Linked DNA regions of Drosophila melanogaster. The protein of the gene in region 1 interacts with the protein of each later gene in a pairwise test. Each region holds a gene or a part of one and is shown on either strand. Other genes may lie near its edges.

Evidence for each region.
Region 2: the proteins of CstF50 (region 1) and CG13731 interact in a two-hybrid assay, tested with the Drosophila melanogaster proteins (one large-scale study listed by BioGRID).
Region 3: the proteins of CstF50 (region 1) and CG13423 interact in a two-hybrid assay, tested with the Drosophila melanogaster proteins (one large-scale study listed by BioGRID).
Region 4: the proteins of CstF50 (region 1) and Hmx interact in a two-hybrid assay, tested with the Drosophila melanogaster proteins (one large-scale study listed by BioGRID).

Annotation. Positions count from the first base shown.
Region 1 is NT_033777.3:31,734,950-31,738,934, forward strand, and holds CstF50 (cleavage stimulation factor 50 kD subunit), read right to left. Parts: upstream 2,015-3,985; 5' UTR 1,932-2,014; coding exon 996-1,931; intron 942-995; coding exon 603-941; 3' UTR 554-602; downstream 1-553. Other genes in the region: CG11563 (uncharacterized protein), read left to right, coding at 2,193-2,290, 2,367-2,651, 2,710-2,950.
Region 2 is NT_037436.4:17,383,118-17,390,553, forward strand, and holds CG13731 (uncharacterized protein), read right to left. Parts: upstream 5,840-7,436; 5' UTR 5,631-5,839; coding exon 5,628-5,630; intron 3,346-5,627; coding exon 3,277-3,345; intron 3,218-3,276; coding exon 911-3,217; 3' UTR 519-910; downstream 1-518.
Region 3 is NT_033778.4:20,535,025-20,538,814, reverse strand, and holds CG13423 (uncharacterized protein), read right to left. Parts: upstream 2,238-3,790; 5' UTR 2,127-2,237; coding exon 1,584-2,126; intron 1,523-1,583; coding exon 635-1,522; 3' UTR 551-634; downstream 1-550. Other genes in the region: Bbd (bombardier), read right to left, coding at 3,491-3,790.
Region 4 is NT_033777.3:17,557,052-17,561,944, reverse strand, and holds the start of Hmx (H6-like-homeobox), read right to left. Parts: upstream 3,016-4,893; 5' UTR 2,582-3,015; coding exon 1,752-2,581; intron 1-1,751. UniProt on the Drosophila melanogaster protein: Transcription factor involved in specification of neuronal cell types.

The DNA.
Region 1 (3,985 bases):
TTTTGTTTAATACTCAAAGTCCGTAGTATAATTTTGTTCATTTCCTTGGCAACAAGTTGGAATCAAATGTATTGGCTAATTGTGCAATCTTCAAAACGTGTTGGTGGCTTCGGAGGAACGCGACAACGCTGTTCTGCGGCCCCACGAAATGTTGTAAACTTAATTAACTACTAAGGCCACTTAACTAGGATCTAGGTGTAGTCATAAGGCATTGGATCAATGTTCCAGCGTACAACAAAACGGACTTCCAGTGAAGAGACAACTGATATTTATACGGAATCCCAATCTGGTATTATGTATTATGATTTTTACAGTTTACTTAACGCAACAAATACGACTTAAGACTTGTGCGCTCAATGACTAGAAATTATAGTTGCGATTTTAGGATAACTATTCATGGAAAAACCACAAACGAGTTTTTAATAAAGAAAATTTTACTGATTAATTATTTTTAAAAGCGTTTGAAACATATTTCATTAATTCTGATAAAATCACAAATCGATACACTTAAAAACCCCCACAGCCAATCACAATAATTGAATAATGAACGTGTACATATTTTATTCCTTAAAGTTTTATTCGATTGGTGTAGCTTCATCCGTTTACTGATTATTTGCTCTTCGGTACCAGAAACGTGCCCGAAAGTCGTCGGAGCAGGTGAGGAAAGCAGGACCATTGGGCGAATGCGTAATATAGCGGACAGGTCCGTTGTGTCCAAGCGAGTTAAGGGTCAGGCGGCAGCCGTTACGGGAGTTCCACGAGCAAAGCGAAGTGGTGGCCTCGTCGGGGAAAAGCACGTAATCCTCTGTGTGGTTGAATACAGCCTCTGTCTGGTGCTCCTGCTTGCCGGTGGTTCCAGCGCCCGTGTACGTCTGAATGGGACGACTGGTACACAGCTCCCACAGATAAACCAGTGAATCCATACCGGAAGATAGGAGGTACTAAAATGAATAAGTTAAAATCTTGCACAGCCACTACCCATAGTGTCCCATTACCTTTCCATTCCGCGTAAACTCCAGTGAGCATATTGCCGCTCCGCCATGCGCCTCGGCAATGGTGTTGATGCACCGCCCGCTGATCCCATCCCATATTTTGATGTCACCATCATAGCTGCCTGTGGCGTAGAGTTTCCCCGTGGGCGAATATTTCACGCAAGTAACTCCAGCCTTGTGCTGCTGCGAGGGAATGGCACTCACGAAGCATTGGGTGGTGGCCACATCGTAGACCCGCAAGACGTTATGTTCCGTTCCGATGGCTACGTAGTCACCAGTAGGATGAAAAGACAGGCACAGCACCGGCTCGCAGTCGGTGAACACCTTGTGGGCCTTCTTTACCGAAGGCTTGGCAATGTCAAACAACTTAACAGTGCCATCGCGCGAGGCGGAGGCCAGGATGTGCTCCTTGGGATGGAACTCCAGGTAAGACACTTCATCAGTGTGATCATAGAGCGTGCGAATCACTGGATGGCCTTGTTGTTCCCTGCCCGGCTCGATATCTTCGGGCGCAGACTTCGCCAGCATCCGCTCCACGTCCAGAATCTTGATGCTGGCATCCACGCTCCCGGTGGCCACCAGGGAACCATCGCAACTGAAGGCGCCGGCGCGACAGGCCTGCTTGTGCGAGGTCACATACGCGGTTTCGTAGGAATGTGGTTCCGGGGCCAAGGCCGAAGCCTCCGGCTCGAATTCCAAGTCTATGCCGGGCAGCACATCATCCGAGTTGGTTTTGTCCTTGTCGCTCAGCGTCTGCATCCCTGCAATCATTACGTGCAGCAGGCGTTCACTGGGAGCGCACTGGTCCGCCTTCACCAGCATGGACAGCTCCATGGCGAACTTCTCCAGGCCGTCGTACATCAGCTGGCTGATCATCAGTCGGTAGAGTATCTCCCGGTTCTTCACTAGGTTACTGGGGTCCAAAATCTCATCACGCATGGTGGCTTAATTTATATTTTGTTTCCTACGGATATAAACAAAATCTTGTAGATAACGCCGTGCCGTTATCGTTATCGAAAACATTTATCTTGCCGGTATGTCATCTCTAGCTATGCGGTATTGAAATACTGAAATCAGGGTTTCGGTATTTTACGGTCCACGGTCACTCCTAACAGCTGCAACACGTGCGGTTTTAAAATTGTTTTGGTCCCCTCAATTGATTTTAAACATTGTTTGATTCATTAATTAAACCTCTCAACAATGAAGATCCGCAAGAATCATGCTCGCAAGCGTTATCGCTACAATGTAAACCGCAAGACGATGAATAAAACCCGGAGTTCCACCGGAAAAATTAAGGAGTAAGTTGGATCTTGGTGCACTTACAGCCAATAGAGTCAACAAGTTTACGAAAACCTTCTGTTATGATCTTACCAGTCCCAGGATGAAAAAGATGTGGATGGAGGACCAGCGTGTGGGCACCAACTTCAGTGAAATGGGGTTGGCCAAGGACGTCAACAAGGCCATTGCGATTCCCAGCTACAAGAAGGACCGCCTCCTAGCGGCCCGAGTTGTGAATGGGTTTCTGGAGGAGGAGCTGGACGAGGATGAGCGGCGTGTATTGGGCCTCAAGAAACCAGTCGTAGAGGAGGGTCCAAAACGTGGACACGTAGTCCAGGAACTAGAACAACTGGCTAGCGAGCGAGCCGACCCAGAGTTCAGGTAAAATATTGATTCTGCAATGGAAAACTGTCAAAATACAGGTTTTGTATTTGCACAGATTACCCAAGGGCGTGGTCAAGGAACTGTCCTACTTTCTTAACAAACATAAGTTTAACTACAAGGCGATGGTTGCCGATCGGAAAAACTTTGGCCAGTGGACGTGGCGGCAGTTCCGCTTGAAGATTCGCAGATTTATGTCGATTCCGGAGCAGTTTAACGTTTACCTGGAGCAGAAGAAGTTGCCCGTGGGCGTGAAACCGGACTGGGAGGAATACGAGTCGGACAGTGAATGGAAATAATGGCTCTTGACCAATGTACATTATAGTCGTTTTCGGGTTCTAATGCTATTAATTGTAATGTTTAGACTTACTTTAATTCTTTTAATACAATAAAATAGGCAAGTAAAGACGAACGCAAAAGGTCTACGTATTAAAGCATTACTGTTAATTACATTACATTACTATTAACAGTATTTTTTCAAATTCCTTTCTAACATTTTTGTTCTGTCAAATTTTCTATTGTTCTGTCGTACGACAGGACGAGAGAGAGAGAAAGGAAGGAGCTTGCGTCTTATTTCAACGCATAAGCGAATAGTGTGCACAATGTCTTTTGCAATTAGTGGTGAATGTGCATACTTTTAGTGACAGTCCGTGAAAGTACTATATTATTTTATCTGCAAAAGACTCAGTTTAAGAGAATATAAAATATTCCATGAATGGTAGTAAAATTGTATTACTATTTTTATTTTGGTACGTTTTATACTTAAGGGATGGAAACTTTATTTAAGTCAAGAAATCCGCATAATGCAATAGGAAACCCAAGGCCCTTGTCATACATGGAATCCTGTGCCATCTCTAGGTCGGAATCAGTTCAGCTCCGTTCACCTCAGCATCGTTGCTTTTTCGGTCTTTCCGTTTTGTGATTTCGAGGTAAGTGCACGCAGAGCTCCCGTTAAATTGTGAAAATATTAATAGGCATTGATTAGTTGTGGAAATGTAAAAAGGGAAAGTCCCAGAATTCCCTACCCTGCATTATTAGGCGAATTTCGGTTCGATTTTCCAACCTAAAGAAAGTTCTAAAGTAAAGAAAGTTCCGAAAAGTGAGAGAGTGTAAGTGATTTGCGCTGCCGGCCGGTCTTCTCATTCCTTTTGCATAATAGCTGTGTAAATCGATTCGAATTGGAAATTGGTTTTCCAGCGACCTTAAATTGCAAGTAAATTAATAAAGTTGCATAGACTTTCGAATTCCAACATGGCGACCGGCTGCATGTGTGTGCGCGTTCGATTTTGCCTGGATTGTACCCGTTTCTCCTTCCCGTTCTCAAGCCGTTTATT
Region 2 (7,436 bases), on another chromosome or scaffold:
AATATTTTAAAAGTCATAAGTTCAAATCACATTTTAACTATATCTCAAATTTGACATTTAATTATAACCTAAGGTTAAATTATTTCATATTTCATGAAAATATACATCGCTCATAGTAAACATACATGTATTTAAATACCTACTCATACGAACTTTTCAAACCTATTAACTAAGCTAACGTGTTTCACATCCATAACTTAAATTAGTAGAGACCAGAAGTGGAGGTCAAGGTTAACTGCCTAACCTGCACTTTGGGCGCTTTATGACTTGCAAGCAACGATCTCCTTTGCATAGTCGTTAAAACCGACTTTTAAGATAACTCCCAAAAGAGGAGGAACCCACGAGACCAACCAGACCACAAAATCTCCCGGACATGGCTTGATCCCATTTCCCGGTTAGGAGTGAAAAAGAAAATATGTTATTATTGTTTGGGTTTCAAACATCGCACATAACATAACAGGACCGCATGTAATTTCCGCTTCCCAAAAACAGATGAAAAAAATGCTTGTAAATATTCGAAAAACTTATTTTATTGTTCAGGTTTCAGCGATCCGAATTAAAAGTTTATTTAATCGTAATATAGAGCTATATAGTCTTGAGCTGGCGTCCGTCACAGACGACGGCCGCCCATCGATTGTAGAATAGTGATAGAACATAGCAAGAGTTGGATAGACTGTTAGCTGTACAATTGGGGCACTCATTTACAATGATCCCTAGCTGTATGAGTATGCGATTCATTAATTACAAAAATAAAATAAAAACAAACAAATGTCGTCCTTGCAGGCGCACCAGTGGCGCCCTCTAGCACCGCTGGCGCCGGATCGTGTAAAGTTAGACTGTACGAGAATTGACTAGATCAATCTAGCCCTAGACGATGGCCCTATCCCTAATCACATCTGGATCTCTAGATCTAGAAGTTGAAGGGGATGCTGGGCACGGGGTACTGGTAGCCCTGGTGCTTGGTGGGTGCGGGTGGGACGTAGACTGTGGTGCGCTGCGTAGGGGGTGGCACGTACACGGTGGTGCGCACTGTTGGTGGTGGCACGTACACGGTGGTCCTACGAGTGGGTGGTGGAGGAGGTCGGGTGGTGCGCACAACAGTGACGGGGGGCAGGTAGGTGGTTGGTGGCTTAGTTGGTGGCCGAGTGGGTGGTGGAGGAGGGCGGGTGGTGCGCACAGTTGGGGGAGGCAGGTAGGTGGTTGGTGGCTTAGTTGGGGGCCTCGTGGGTGGAAGAGTTGGCCGAGGAGTGGTACGAACGGTGGTGCGAACGGTGACCGGTGGCAGAGGCTTGTTGGTGGGTGGCAGGTAAGTAGGAGCCGGGGTTGTCAAACGACGAGTGGTGGGTGGGTAGGTTGGTGGCCGGGTTGGTGGGCGAGTTGGTGGTGGGGTGGCACGGGTGGTGCGCACGGTAACGGGAGGCAAGTAAGTGGTTGGTGGCTTAGTTGGTGGCCGAGTGGGTGGTGGAGGAGGGCGGGTGGTGCGCACAGTTGGGGGTGGCAGGTAAGTGGTTGGTGGGCGAGTTGGTGGCTTGGTAGGAGGCAGAGTTGGCCGAGGAGTGGTACGAACGGTGGTGCGAACGGTGACCGGTGGCAGAGGCTTGTTGGTGGGTGGCAGGTAAGTAGGAGCCGGGGTTGTTAAACGACGAGTGGTGGGTGGGTAGGTTGGTGGCCGGGTTGGTGGGCGAGTTGGTGGTGGGGTGGCACGGGTGGTGCGCACGGTAACGGGAGGCAAGTAAGTGGTTGGTGGCTTAGTTGGTGGACGAGTGGGTGGTGGAGGAGGGCGGGTGGTGCGCACACTTGGGGGTGGCAAGTAAGTGGTTGGTGGGCGAGTTGGTGGCTTGGTAGGAGGCAAAGTTGGACGAGGAGTGGTACGAACAGTTGTGCGCACGGTGACTGGTGGCAGTGGTTTGTTGGTGGGAGGCAGGTAGGTAGGAGCTGGAGTCGATGCACGGGTTGGTGGTGGTGGTGGCCTAGTTGGAGGAGGGGTTGGGGGGCGAGTTGGGGGACGAGTTGGTGGTGGGGTGGCACGGGTGGTGCGCACGGTAACGGGAGGCAAGTAAGTGGTTGGTGGCTTAGTTGGTGGACGAGTGGGTGGTGGAGGAGGGCGGGTGGTGCGCACAGTTGGGGGTGGCAGGTAAGTGGTTGGTGGGCGAGTTGGTGGCTTGGTAGGAGGCAAAGTTGGACGAGGAGTGGTACGAACGGTGGTGCGAACGGTGACCGGTGGCAGAGGCTTGTTGGTGGGTGGCAAGTAAGTAGGAGCCGGAGTGGTCAGACGACGAGTGGTCGGTGGGTAGGTTGGTGGCCGGGTTGGTGGGCGAGTTGGTGGGGGGGTGGCACGGGTGGTGCGCACGGTAACGGGAGGCAAGTAAGTGGTTGGTGGCTTAGTTGGTGGCCGAGTGGGTGGTGGAGGAGGGCGGGTGGTGCGCACAGTTGGGGGTGGCAGATAAGTGGTTGGTGGGCGAGTTGGTGGCTTGGTAGGAGGAGGAGTTGGACGAGGAGTGGTGCGAACAGTGGTGCGCACGGTGACTGGTGGCAGTGGTTTGTTGGTGGGAGGCAGGTAGGTAGGAGCTGGAGTCGATGCACGGGTCGGTGGTGGTGGTGGCCTCGTTGGTGGTGGTGTTGGACGACGAGTGGTCACTGGTGGCGGTGGCTTGTTGGTGGGTGGCAAGTAGGTTGCTGGAGGACGAGTGGTTGGTGGCTTAGTTGGGGGCCTCGTTGGTGGAGGAGTCCTTGGTGGTGGTGGTGGAGGAGGCAGGCGGGTGGTCACTGGTGGCAGTGGCTTGTTGGTGGGTGGCAGATAGGTTGCTGGAGGACGAGTGGTTGGTGGCCTAGTTGGCGGCCTCGTTGGTGGAGGAGTCCTTGGTGATGGTGGTGGAGGAGGCAGACGGGTGGTCACTGGTGGCAGTGGCTTGTTGGTGGGTGGCAGGTAGGTTGCCGGAGGACGAGTGGTTGGTGGCCTAGTTGGGGGCCTCGTTGGGGGAGGAGTCCTTGGTGGTGGTGGTGGTGGAGGAAGACGGGTGGTCACTGGTGGCAGTGGCTTGTTGGTGGGCGGCAGGTAGGTTGGTGGTGGCGTGGGAGGCCTGGTGGGTGGCCTGGTGGGTGGCCTAGTAGGAGGGCGCGTTGGCGGCCTTGTTGGCGGCTGTGTGGTGCGGACGGGCAGATCGAATGGAACATCGGGAGGGGGGTAGAAGTATCCCTCGGCGGCACGAGTCTTGCGCTGTAAAAAGTGGCTTGTAAGTTCCTGTTGGCAGGGAATCGTCAGATTTCCGCACTTACCTCATGGTTATCGGCCGATGCGGTGGCCACAGCCACAACGCAAAGCGCCAAGACGAACAGTGCACTTCTCTGTGGGGAAGGAACGAAAAACACAGCCTGATTAGTGATGCTACATATTGATGGACTTCGATGGTGTCGCCGTACAGAGGTGCTCAGACTAACGACTGGCTCTAACAACCTGATTGCGACTAATTGATCGCCTTCTAGGCTAATCGCCTATTCACGCTTCGTGGCAACTTGGTCGGGGTCGGAGGAGGCAAGGCAACTCCGCTGGCCTGCAGTTCAAAACTGTGGTAAAGTTCAGCCAACAAACAGCCAAGCTGGCGAATCGATTTACCATAATGCATTGAAAATCACCCGAAATGCTAACGCAGACATTCAACTTTGACGGGCATTAGCATCTCTAGGTCAGTCCCCTCCCCCGGAGCTATGTATGTAAATATCGCAGATTGACGCGATTGATACATAATGCCCATGCAAATGCGGAGCGACACAACAGATCCGAAGCTCAATGGGGATCCGAGGAAGTAGCCCCTGAATTATGGCTTCCGACGATGCTGTCAGCGGGTTTATTTGCATTTGTCGCTGGAGTTTCGGCAAGGTCATTGTTAGTTAATGAAAGTGCTCGTCGATGGCCGCAGATGGCCAGTGTCGATGAGCTCAATTAATTGGCTGACGGAGAATTTTCGGGGGCTATAAAAATAGCCGATTATGAAAGAAACCGGCCCGGATCCGGGCCCCAAACTCCAGACCAGTTCTAGCCATGATTATATAATAATCAGCAAAGACTGGCCATAAAACTAGTGAGAAAACGCAAAATTAGCATACGCATCTGGCATGCGAAGAATAGTAAGCCCCGGTTGTCATTTATAACCAAATCTGTTAGATTTTAAGCCATACCTCCAAAATCGACTGGGTCCAGTTTCATTTATTTTTTTTGTTGGTTTCTGATTGTTTGCTAATTTCAAAAATATTTGATCTTTGTATGTAAATGATTTTAAATAATTTATGCTAATGAACCTAAAATTTTTGCTGTTCTAACTTGTTTTAAATATCAGCCACAATTGAGCTGAGGATATCGAGAACCAAATCGGGTTTGACTTATGGCGGGTGGTGCTTAAAGGTTAGAAAGTGAAAGGACTTGGAGAGATATTTGCAGGGGCAAACCGATTCCCTCGACTGTTCAGTGAGCTAATTGGCAGCTAATTAATCTGATTCACACCGCCTCGAGGGCAGAGCCCCAATGCCAAGACTTTTGGGGCAACTTTATTTTTCCGAAACTGTGAGAGATTTGGGTGAATTAAAGTCTGGGGAAAAGATCAGTCGGCCCTTTAACAAATGAAATCTTCTTTGGCAACAATGATGGTGATTAATGGACGTCTATTCAATGGCAACGTCAAGAATCTAACTTAAGGCAACGTTTTTATGGCTATTTACCTAAATACGCCAATCGCAAATTGCGACTAGCAAATGTCAGAAGCAAAAGCGAAAATTATGGAAAAAAAAACAAGTTTTAATTTCATCTTCAGCCATGTCAATGCTGACATAGAAACTGCCGCCACATGGCAGAATGCACATGCAGCTGGTCCATCCTAATGACTTAATACGCAAATTGCGGATCGCGCCAAGGCGATTTGCTCTGTGGGCGGCCAACACGGCGTATGCGTAACATTGCACTCGATGCCACTTGCTCAATTTCTACATGGCTTAAATGTCAACCGCCATCTGGTCAACTCTTAACTCGCGATGATAGCCCGGGTCCAGAGCTGGACCCTCGACAAAATGTGAAATGCAAATAGATGGCGATTGAATTGGAACTGCAGTCGGTGTTGGCAATTTATTTGCTATTTCTTCTTGTTTGCGATGCTTGGGTATGCACAGAGAAAAATCGGAATGATTTTGAATGAACTTAAAGGCCCTATCTTATCTTATAACCCTTTTTTATGATTGTATCCCTATAAAATTGTAGAACATGCTTTTTTAGTATCCTTTTATACAAGTTCGGATTAATAAATTTCTGAAGATCTAGCGCTAAATAGCTGACACATTATTTTAACACAAGAAATGTTTTAATTTAAAATTAAAGTTTGAATACAAATATCATTGAAAATTCGTATTCGTTCAATTATTTTCTGTACTGTCACAAGCCCAAACTATAAAACGTGGAAACTCCCTAAATATTTTGGACCAACAAAACTGATACTTTTTATCTTCATCTGCACTGCTTTTCCTTTGCGAAATGTCTGTCTTGTTTGTCTTCACACCGAGGGACACTTGTTTCGTTATTTTGCACTTTGCACACGATCATTGTTCGTTTTGGTTTAGATTGGATTGGAACTGGGTTCGGTTACCATGGTGTACACTTTCGGACTGCTACAAACGGCAGTTGCGGTAATCCCGGGTGCGTAGGTAATCCTAGGCGGTGTGCGTGAATAATCCTTGCGGACGGTACTGTGAGGATCGGAAAGGAGAAGACGCGACCGATCGTATCAAATTCAATGGACGATTGAATTTGATCGATGCCAAGCTAAGTTGGTTTAACTTCTAGGTCGAGTGTGGAATACCAACTAAAGCATCAAAACTTGTAGATTTTCTATATATACTCGGACCCAGCATCTGCCCACTTGGGCAGCGGCGTCGGCAGAGGCATCTTCACCTGGGCGACAGCTGTTAACACACGGCCAAAAGCCGAAATCGAAAGCGTTTTGGCCAGATGAAGATGAGCCGAATACGAAGTCTCTGCCGCTGCTGATGCCTCAGCCTTCGTCGACAGCGACGCCGACAGCTGAATGCTGACCAGAAAGCCAACCAGTCTCGGTTGTTTGATGTTTGTGAGTTAACAGCCAGATAACATGGCTAAGACAAAAAGGCAGCCAAATTAAGGCCCAGCAATTATGGCAGAAGAGCAACTAAGCCAGACGCACCATCCGGCCATCCGACCATCCATCCACCAACGCCTGCTCTTGTTGGCATTTCTATTTAGCCAACTCCGATGGCTGGCAAATATGCTCGTACTTTTGGCAGAAGTCTGCGGCGAGTGTTAAACACGTTGTCGTGCAGCATTTAATTTGGTAAATGGGTCCGAGCCACCGAATTTCATCAATCGATGAGACAAGCCGAAGCTGGCTCGACGATCGAGAGCCAAGTCAAGGCTCCCAACGAAGCTTGCCAAGGCAAATAAGGCCGAGAAGATCAGGCGTTGGCTAATGGCACTTACCCCTCGGATCAGGCCTAAATGCAGTTGGAGTTGCGAGTCGATGTTGGAGTTGGAGTCGGCCAATTGAACATGAACCGGTTGACTTGGCCAAAAATGCGTGTGCCCGGGGGTCAGCAGATGGCAGCCGGAGTTGAATGTTAAGGTAGGCTCAGCTCGGCTCAGCTCATCTCTGACTCCGTGTCAGCCGAGTGACCTTTAAACGCACACTCGAAGATCTCGATGATCGGTGATCGGTGATCGGTGTTCAGTGCTGCATTCTTCGAGCGACTCCCAAACGGGTTTCGGCATTTGTCATCGCCTGCATTTCGCCAGTTTAATAACTAGAATTTATTTATTCGCAAGCAGTCACGTCTTGATTTTAATGAACCAATCAGAGTGACACCCACTGGCCACGCGCAGTCATGAGCGGGCCCAAAATAGATGTGACTTTGAACTCTTTCGGCCCAAAGGTGCGTGGTCACTGGGTAGTCAGGGTCTAGATAAAACGGCGGAACAACACCCAGAGGAAGTGCAGCCGAACGGAAGTCACCCCTGCGGCCATCAGACGCCACTTAGAGCCACATTAATTCTTGTCTTTTATTACATAATTGCTGGCTAACTTATTCGGGTCATAACTTGCTTCGCACATCTTCACAAAGGCAATGACACTTGGCGGCGACTGCTGACATTTCAAATTTGTCATTGCGGATAACTGAAGCGACTGAATTGTTTTTATTATTTTTTTCTTTTTTAGTTTTTGGCTCATCGAATGCTTCTTGACTGCCGGCTAGAGGAAAAGCCTTTTTTTGTCACCTCATCCGACATTGCAACAGACGATTATTCAACTTCCATACCGAGTGTCTGATAATTTGCTGCCTCAAATTTTGGACTCCACTGAAGGACGTTAGCGGTTTTCGAATCAAACAAGACCGTCGCTTGAGCCTGTTCTAAACCGCATTCTAGA
Region 3 (3,790 bases), on another chromosome or scaffold:
GAAAACAGTCGCCGTTTTGCTGGCCGCGCCAACAACTCTTGTCGAGAACTCCCTAATGCCTAATTAGTCATGCCGGGCACGTAGGAGCGATTCCCGAAAAACTTAGTGAAGGTCGCGCCTCGGTGACGATGACAACAACTGCCACAAAGGACACAACGTTGCGGGATATTTAAATAATTTTATGCAAGCGATTGGCGGCTGGCACAAGAGTTCGCAGGAAACTCAAAAATGGGACACTTTAAACGAGAGTGTAGTCAATTGTTCACTACTTACTAAAACTATTTTCAACAAACAACAAAACTCAATCGTGCTGACTGTTTTTATACTCGTAGTTACACGTAGAGTAAAAGGGTAAAAGGGAAGAAGAAAGCGTTTTCGACCATATCAAGTATTCATGATCACGATCGATAGATCTTAGGTACTATAAAAGCTAGAAAGTTGAAATTAAGCAGCGCAAGTTTATTTCACGTTGCCACGCCCACAGTTCGGAAAAATACTTGAAATTTGTCATTGTTGTTGAACTTTCTTCTTGAATTGAATGAATGGATTTAGTTTTTATCTATTCAAGAAGGCAAATAAAATGTAGTAAATGTATTTCTTATGAAAGATTTTTTTTTTGGTTCTAAACAATTTTTTAATTAAGTAATGCGCCCATGGGATCCCAAGCAGGCAGTTCTTTCCATTTATGTATCCTTGCGGCATGTAAAACACCCGATGGGACAAATTTTTCGTGGACTACAATCTCAAAAGCGTACTCCCTTAACCATTCGGCGTCCAATTTGTTATCCGGTGGTTTGACCGACTTCTTTCTTAATGCCTTCGTAACCTTTTCGTCCACATCGTGTTCATTAAGACCTCCGGTGGCGGGAGACTCGCCAATTGTAGAAGCATTTATGAAGCGAAACTGTACGGGCTGTTTCAAGGTGTCCAATCCAACGGATGTAAGGAGCAGGGCTGCATCCCGTCGGGATGCTCTGTAGTCAAGTCTCTCTGCTTTGGTGAGCGACTCGCCCACTTTAAAGCCAAATAGCAAATCAAATTGATGCGATCTCAGGCTTAATGGACCGGACTTCAAACTGATTGCTCTACGAATATCGCAGGCCATCCAAACGGGTTTATCACCTTCCAGAGAAGTCACCATGATCTGCATTATGATGTCCATTGATTGGTTATTATACCTATGAGGTTTTCCGCCCATCATATTCGAGCTGTTGGCAACCTGATAGTTGCTATGGTAGCTGGATGAGATTCGCGGATCGTGACCCAGACAGACAAAGGCGTCTAGATTCACCGTACAGCCTACCATAACTTCGTAGAAATGGACCGCTGTCATATCATTCAGGCACTGGTAACGCTTTTTGTGGTCGTAGAAGGACCAGGTGAAAACCTTGGGAGGTTCACCAAGGCAGATGCATATTACTTTGAAGAGATGCGGAATCATTTCTTGAATGAGATCGGGGAGACGGCAGCCATTCCCATTAAAGGTGAACTGAGCATGCAGCATGCTGGCATATTCACGTAGCTTTAGGTGAAGGAAATATATACATATGTATATAATATTCAGTACAATACAAAATACCAACCTTACTCTTCAGTATGAGGTTCATTTTTGTAGTTCGCTGAGTGGAGTGGAGGTAGCATTTCTTGGGCATAACTCCGTATTTTTTGACCAGATTAACGAACATTTGCCAGTTGCCTCCATCTGGCACTGGGTTCTTAATTAAATTCCGAAAGCAGCGCCCATCCAGCGGTTCGCAACGCATTAGAAGATCGGCGACCGTCCACAGGAAGTAGTTGCATCGCTCCAACTTGTGCCAGAAAAACAAATGTGCGGCGGAGAGTTCAAAGTCCAGTGGAAGCGGCAACTTTCTGTCCATCTCCTGGCACAGCAGGTCCAGGCCCGTGCATATCCATCCCGGACCACCGGTAGTGGCCTTGCCCTGCCTGCTCAACTCTATCCAGGTTTTCACACCTGACGGAACGGAGCATAAGTCCGCCTCGGATCGCAGGCATACAGTGATGGGATCTTGAGCGGTGCACACATTCTGGGCCAGACGATTCATCGAAGACGCGTAAAAGGCGGAGTACCAGGCGGACCACTGCGGTTCGGTCAACAAAAAGCTCATTTTCGTATCTTGACGAGTGATCTTATTCCGAATATCTCAAGTGGTTGACATTAGAAAGCGCAGGAATAGACACTATAAATTTAGACCTATCTTTCGGTCCGAATTCGTTTCGTCTATTTATCGCAATTAATTGGATAGAAAAGCAGTTGTCAAACGCAACGTGTTTGGGCACGTGTCCACTTACAATCGATTATTTATCAATCAAATACCGGATCGATAAAAAAAAAACACATCTCTAGCTGCTCGCGCGCAGTTCGATATTTTTGCTTCACATAACTTGAATACCATTGTTTTCGCTTTTAAGTTTCAGCCTATAAATAAAGTCATTAAGATAAAAAGTTCACCCCACATATCCATCCACTGCGTTCATTCCGCTCATATTAACAGAATTGACATTGAATTTGAAAATGGGAAATGGCAGCGAATCAATCTTCGAAATGGACAACAAGGACACAGATAAGATACTTGGTTTGTACTGACTATGGGTTGCAAATCAAGCTCTAGATCAACCTTACACATTCTGAACGATCCCTCTTACGCCGACAAGCCGCCCAAAACTAAAACTTTTTATATATTTTTATTTGTCTTGTAAATTTCTATCGATTTGCCCAAGTCGACTATAGCATTCTCACTTAACAAATTTGTAGCAGTTTATTAAATATATAACTGTCAACCTGATATAGAAATTTAAGATTTAACATCGATGGAAATTTAATTTCAAATCTCGATTTAGAAATACAAAATAAGCAGAAATTTCGTTCGACCCACCCTAATTCAATTAAAAGCATTTTTCATAAACAAGCAAATGTATACAGCAATGCAATTAGACAATTTGTGGCTGACAAAAGATCAAGGCCATTAATTAAGAATTTATTAAGTTAGCTTGGAAAACACAAATATAAAGAATAAGAGACCTTGGTCTTATTTACGAAGATTCGTTGGGAAATTCCGTCATTTAAATACCAAGAAGTGTTCATAAACACCGCCGCAAGCTCGGTAATTGTATTCCAATCGCCACACGCCCATACAAACCTAGTCTGTTAGGCGATACTAAGCATTAGATTTAGCCGCCCCATAAGCTGCCTATACGGTGAGTTTCCCGCTAATCAATCACATTTGCCGGGCGTCATTTCCCATTAATTGACCTAACCACCCACACGTTTGTGGCCTCAGGCCGGTCAAATGGGAAGATTATGCCCAAAGACGCCTCATGTCTGGGGTCTGTTGTACTTGGATTACACACTAGATATGTATCTTTTAGAACATCTTAGCTTGTAAACCATAGATAAGACAATTAAAGTCAAGACAATTGCTGCAAAGGCGCTTTATTTCGAGCGACTCGTGTACGATTGATTACTTGGCTTCTAATAGAAAATATTTCCCAGGGAATTCTGAAGATCCCTTTGAATATCAGCCATGGTTTTCTGGAGATTGGCGTGCACCTCTTGCTGGATACGATCGGCATAGTTCTTTGCCTCCGCCTCTAATTTATCCCGATTGTCGAAGGATTCGCGATCGCCCAGAAATGTGCGTCCACCTATCTTGGCAATCACCGTATGATCGGCCAGTTCGATGACTATATCACCATTGGAGTACTCCACCTGAGCCGGTTGTCCGTTGATGGTGACGGTTTCCTTTTCGTTAATGCCTGCTGCTTTTGGCCT
Region 4 (4,893 bases), about 14 Mb from region 1:
CATTCTGGCCGATGATGATCAACTGATAAGCCAGTCACATAGGCAGCCACACGTCAGCTGGGCTAGCGCCAAACAGCAGGAGGCGACACTTTGTCCAGGACGAGGTCCTTAATTGGGGTAACCACGCACGGGCCACAGTCCAGTTGACTGGGACAGTAGCGACCCTCGGCCACAGAACCTGCCCACCAGCCCGACTTTCCTTATCGAGACGATCAGCGACGCGGGCACGCGTAAATGAAATGAAAATGATCGTTATTAAAAAGTTCGAGGACTAAAACGTCTGGGGGAGTCCCCCTCCCATTCTCTCGTAAAATAAAAGTGCAACTTATAAATTCTCTTGGTTGTTTTTTTTTTTTTTTAATTCAACACATGCGTTAATCGAGCTGCCTGGAAATTCGATCGCTGACTCAAAAAGCCGGCTAAGTGGGGTTAATATGCCAGCGTTTATGATATGAATGAAATGAATAAAAAACGCATTTGCACTGAGACAAATTTAAATTGAATCAATGGAATATGTTGCAAGAGAAATAAGCTCTTTAATGAATAGTACCTAAATAAATATAGATTTATGTAGGTGTACATTTTTCGAGTGCTATTTTTCACAATTAAATTTTACAAAATCCGTTAATATTAGCTCGGACTTGTTTATTTCCAGTGCACATTGTGTATCAATAAGTTGCATTCGCACAACAAACAGCTGTAGAAACGTACCAGTTTTTGTGGGTCAGCTTGGAGGGACTGAGGGTTCATTCATTCGAAAGGACCACGTTTTGCATACGATACTGGAGCATTGTCAGTCCGTCAATCAGCCGGACAGTCGGTTACATTCATTCCCGAAGCGGTGCATTAAATTTCATCTAACAAATGTTATGTAACTCGATAGTCTGGCCAAATTGCAGGGCAAAAATGGTTTAGACCTTTTCTGCATATATTCGAGGTCAGCTAGCGTCCAGTGCAACTAAAAACGGTTCCATTGGATTTGCTTTATCTGTCTGGCATCTGGAATTTGGAATCGTTAGATTCTCGGAGCACAATGGCATGGTACTTTAGCCATTTGCATCTTCACCCACTTAATGTCTCGTGTAACGTTTGCCCAACAATTTTCGGTCTTATCGACCATCTCCCGGCTACCATCTCAGTCCGTCTCCATCCCATTTCTCCTCTTTGTGCACTTCCTGCGAAGAGATTTGTGTCACCTTGCCTTGTCTTCCCCTAGGACGATTATACAAAATTGGCCCAACCCGAGGGCGAACAAGTGGAATGGCAGCCTCTTTGGGTTTTGGGCTCATTGAGGCAAGGCTTGACTTTTTGGTTTCAGTTCGCCGGCGAACGTCCTAATCTGGGTCGCCTACACTGAGCAATAAATGGGTATGGTACTTAAGACGAGTGATTTTTATTATTACAAAAAAAGGTATTCAATGGGAAATCCTTGGGCATATGAAATTATACTCATTTAATTTCAGTAATTATAGGGTTAAAATTTGAATGAAATTTTAGTTCGAGTTTGTATTTTTTTAAAATATCTTGCGGATCAAAATTAGGCGGAATAGCTGAATATCGTCAGAAGTAACTAATTATATATGACAGATGGATGGACTAAATTTTTGCAGATTAAATTGTTAAAATGAATTGAAGTAAAATGTTGACACTAAGATTTTTAAATTTGGCGACTTCATATTTACAAGATTAATCACATTTGAAATGGGAGGGCTATTTTTGACTAGAGCAAGTCTGGAATGTTTTTTAATTACCTGGACAACATGGCCGCATCCTGTGGACCGCCGGCTCCTGGTTGCGGCAACTGCGGGATCGGAGTGATAAGTCCGGCGGCGCCGTTCTTCTTGGCCGGCTCACTGCGACTCAGGATGCTGGAGATGGAGAAGCTGGTGAATCCGTTGGAGCCGGTGGTGCTCTTGCCGCCGCCGCCCCCGCTGCTCCCGTTGCTGTCGTTGCTGTTGTTGCTCAGGTTGGCCGCTGCCACCGCTGCTGCTGCCGCCGCTGCGGCCGCCGAGGCGCAAGTGTTGTTGTGATTGAGGGCCTTACTGTTGTTGTTGTTCAGACTGTGTCCTTGCACCTCATCGCCGCCATTCCGCTCCGGACTCTTCATTGGCGGACTAAGGCGCTCGACATGCGACTGCTGGTGTTGCTGCTGCACCTGCAACTGTTGCTGCTGCTGCTGGCCGGTGGGCGTGAGTGCGTGCTGCAGCAGGGCGGGATGTGTGGCCCCGTGGGCGGGATGCAAGTGGCCAAAGGTGTGGAGCGCGTGATGCAGCGCCACCGGATGGCTGCCCAGGCTGCTCAGATGGTGCTGCAGATGATGGTGCAACACCGCCGGCGGCACAGCGCCTCCGCTGGGACTGTGATGGAAGTGATTGCCGCCCGAGGCGGACGTTGTGGGCGTGCCGGCGGCCGTGTTGGGCGTATTGGAGCGATGGGTAGGCGTGGCCGGGGGCGAACTGCCGTCGGCGGAACGGGCCGGCGAGCGGGCCAGCAGCGGACTGTCGCGGGCAGCGGCGCCCAAAGGACTCGGCTCCGGACTGGACACCACACTGATGTCAACTTCGGCCTCGGAGGAAGACATAGCTTGAGATTTTTGCTTAGATTTGCAGTTTAAACGTTTAATTCAGCACTTTTGTTCTTCAACTTGCACTTGTGTGTGTGTTTTTTTTTTTTTGTTTTATATATATTTGTTAGGAAAATAAAGAATTTTCCAAACCTTGTACACTTCAGTCGTGCCACGAAAAACTCGTTAAGGGAAAACGCCGAGCGCTACCGTTGGGAGAAACACGTCTGCACCGTTTGATCAACGTTTCGCATTTGAATTTAAATGCGGCTGTTAACAGACGCAGTCCTGAGTTCTGTGTTCTGAGTCCTTCGTCCTTTCTGTCTCTGTATGTATGCGAGTGCTTGTGTGTGTCTGCGTGTGTGTGTGTGCTTGTGTTTGTGTGTGGCAAAGCGATCGTTTAGTGTTTTTATTGTTTCAGTCTCTGGATTTTTAACCCCCGGTCTCGTGTCCGGAGAGCGTGGAACTGAAACTGAGACTGAGGTGGTTGGCTGGCAGCCCTGCAAATTCTTTTGGTCTTTGCGCTAAATGGTTTTCCGCACTCACACACACACTTGCGTATTTGCTACCCCTCCTGGGAGGGTGTGTCCCACTCTCTCTCTATCGCTCTCGCTGTCCCTCTCTTTCACCGCCTGGTGGCCCACCCCTTCTGCCGCTCTTTTTCATTCCATTTGCAGTTCGGAATTTCTTTTCGTTTATTTCGACAATTGCACTGCAACCGCATCGACAGACACTTTTCGCATTTTCCTCCTTTACTATTTTTTCTCTGCGGTGCTGGTGGAGTGCGCTTTGGTTTTCCTACCCCCCGAATGGGAAACACTTGGCATTTGGAACGCGTCTAAAGTGGGGGCGCACTCGGCTCGACTCGAATCGCTTCGCTCGGCTGGTGTCTATTGAAATGCCAATATAAAATCAATCAATTGCCACCTAACAGGGGTCAAGTGTTGCTCTGTGGCGCCATTGAAATTTCCCAGCCAGCCAGATGCAAACTTTTTCGACCAGAAAAGTGTGTGCCGAAAATGCACCAGTCGATTGCAACCTTGCGGTTAGCAGATTGAGCGGTGAAAGTTTCAACAAATGGGGTTCGGTGATATAGATAAATCATTGAATTGCTAAAATATCGAAAGAAATAAACAAGCAACTTATAAATTATGCAAAGAAAAGTAAAAGAGGTTTTGTGGGTGTTATCAAATGTATAAAATATCAAATGTATTTATTATGTTTGATAACGAAATGGTGAAGAACAACGTTAATCAAAAACGATATTATCAAAAATACGAGGATAGAAGGTATCCTTAAGAAATTAAGTGAAAGATTTTCAACAATTATATTTAAATAATTAAAAATATGTAAGCAATTTCCCAACGTATTAAGTTATATTTAGTATCGTTCATGTCATTGTAATGCATTCCCGTTTCTTCTTTTATTTGGAATCTCTGAGCTTTCTACCTTATAGCATGTTTCATTCCACAGCGTTCCGTTCCCCAAAGAGAAAACCTCCCCCAAAAAGCGAACAGGCGGCCATTTTTGCGAAGGAGCTCTGCAAACTTTGCAGAAAAAGAGCGGGTGAGAGCAAGAAAAAGTTAGAGAGAGAGAGAATGAGAGAGAGGGCAAATTGAATTTTTAAATGCTTTCGCTTTTTATGAGACAACCACGAGGCATTCAAAGAGTGTTGCAAACGATTTGCTCAAAACAAAACAAACATTATGCGAGTCAATTACCCGTCGAAAGAGAGAGACGGCGAGACCGGAGAGAGCACTCTCTTTGGGGGCGTGGCCAGTGGAGGGCCAATGGGGTGACAGCTCCTCGAAATGTCGGAGAACGCTTTTCAGCGACGGGAAAAGCGAGCATAAAAAACACAACCAAACAAATGGGTAACAAACATTTGCAGCTCAGACAGCGACGCCGAAATATGCGTAGAAATTCATGCGCAATTACATTTATCCTGTTTAGAAGATTGCTTTTGCCAAAGTGCGTCTCCACGTGCTGAGGGCAAGGCGCCACCCTTGCACCCGCCCAGCACCCCCATCTGCCACCCACCACCTCCCATTTCCCCTTGGAGGAGCTGTGCATGTGTGTGTGTGTGTGTGTTGACGGAGCCATCACCTGCGTCCGTAACACATTTTTCCGTAATTTCCCTCTGTGCATTGCTTGTTTTTGATTCGTTTTCGTGTAAGACTTTAGAGTGGGATTGGGGGTGTATAAAAAATAAATCCAATGGGGGACGGGGCTTTTCCGGGAAACAATGGAGTGGGGAATTGGAAGAATTCCGGCCACCTCGACGGTTTCAGAAATAGTGACACTTAGGTGGTGCCCCATTTCCATTTCAA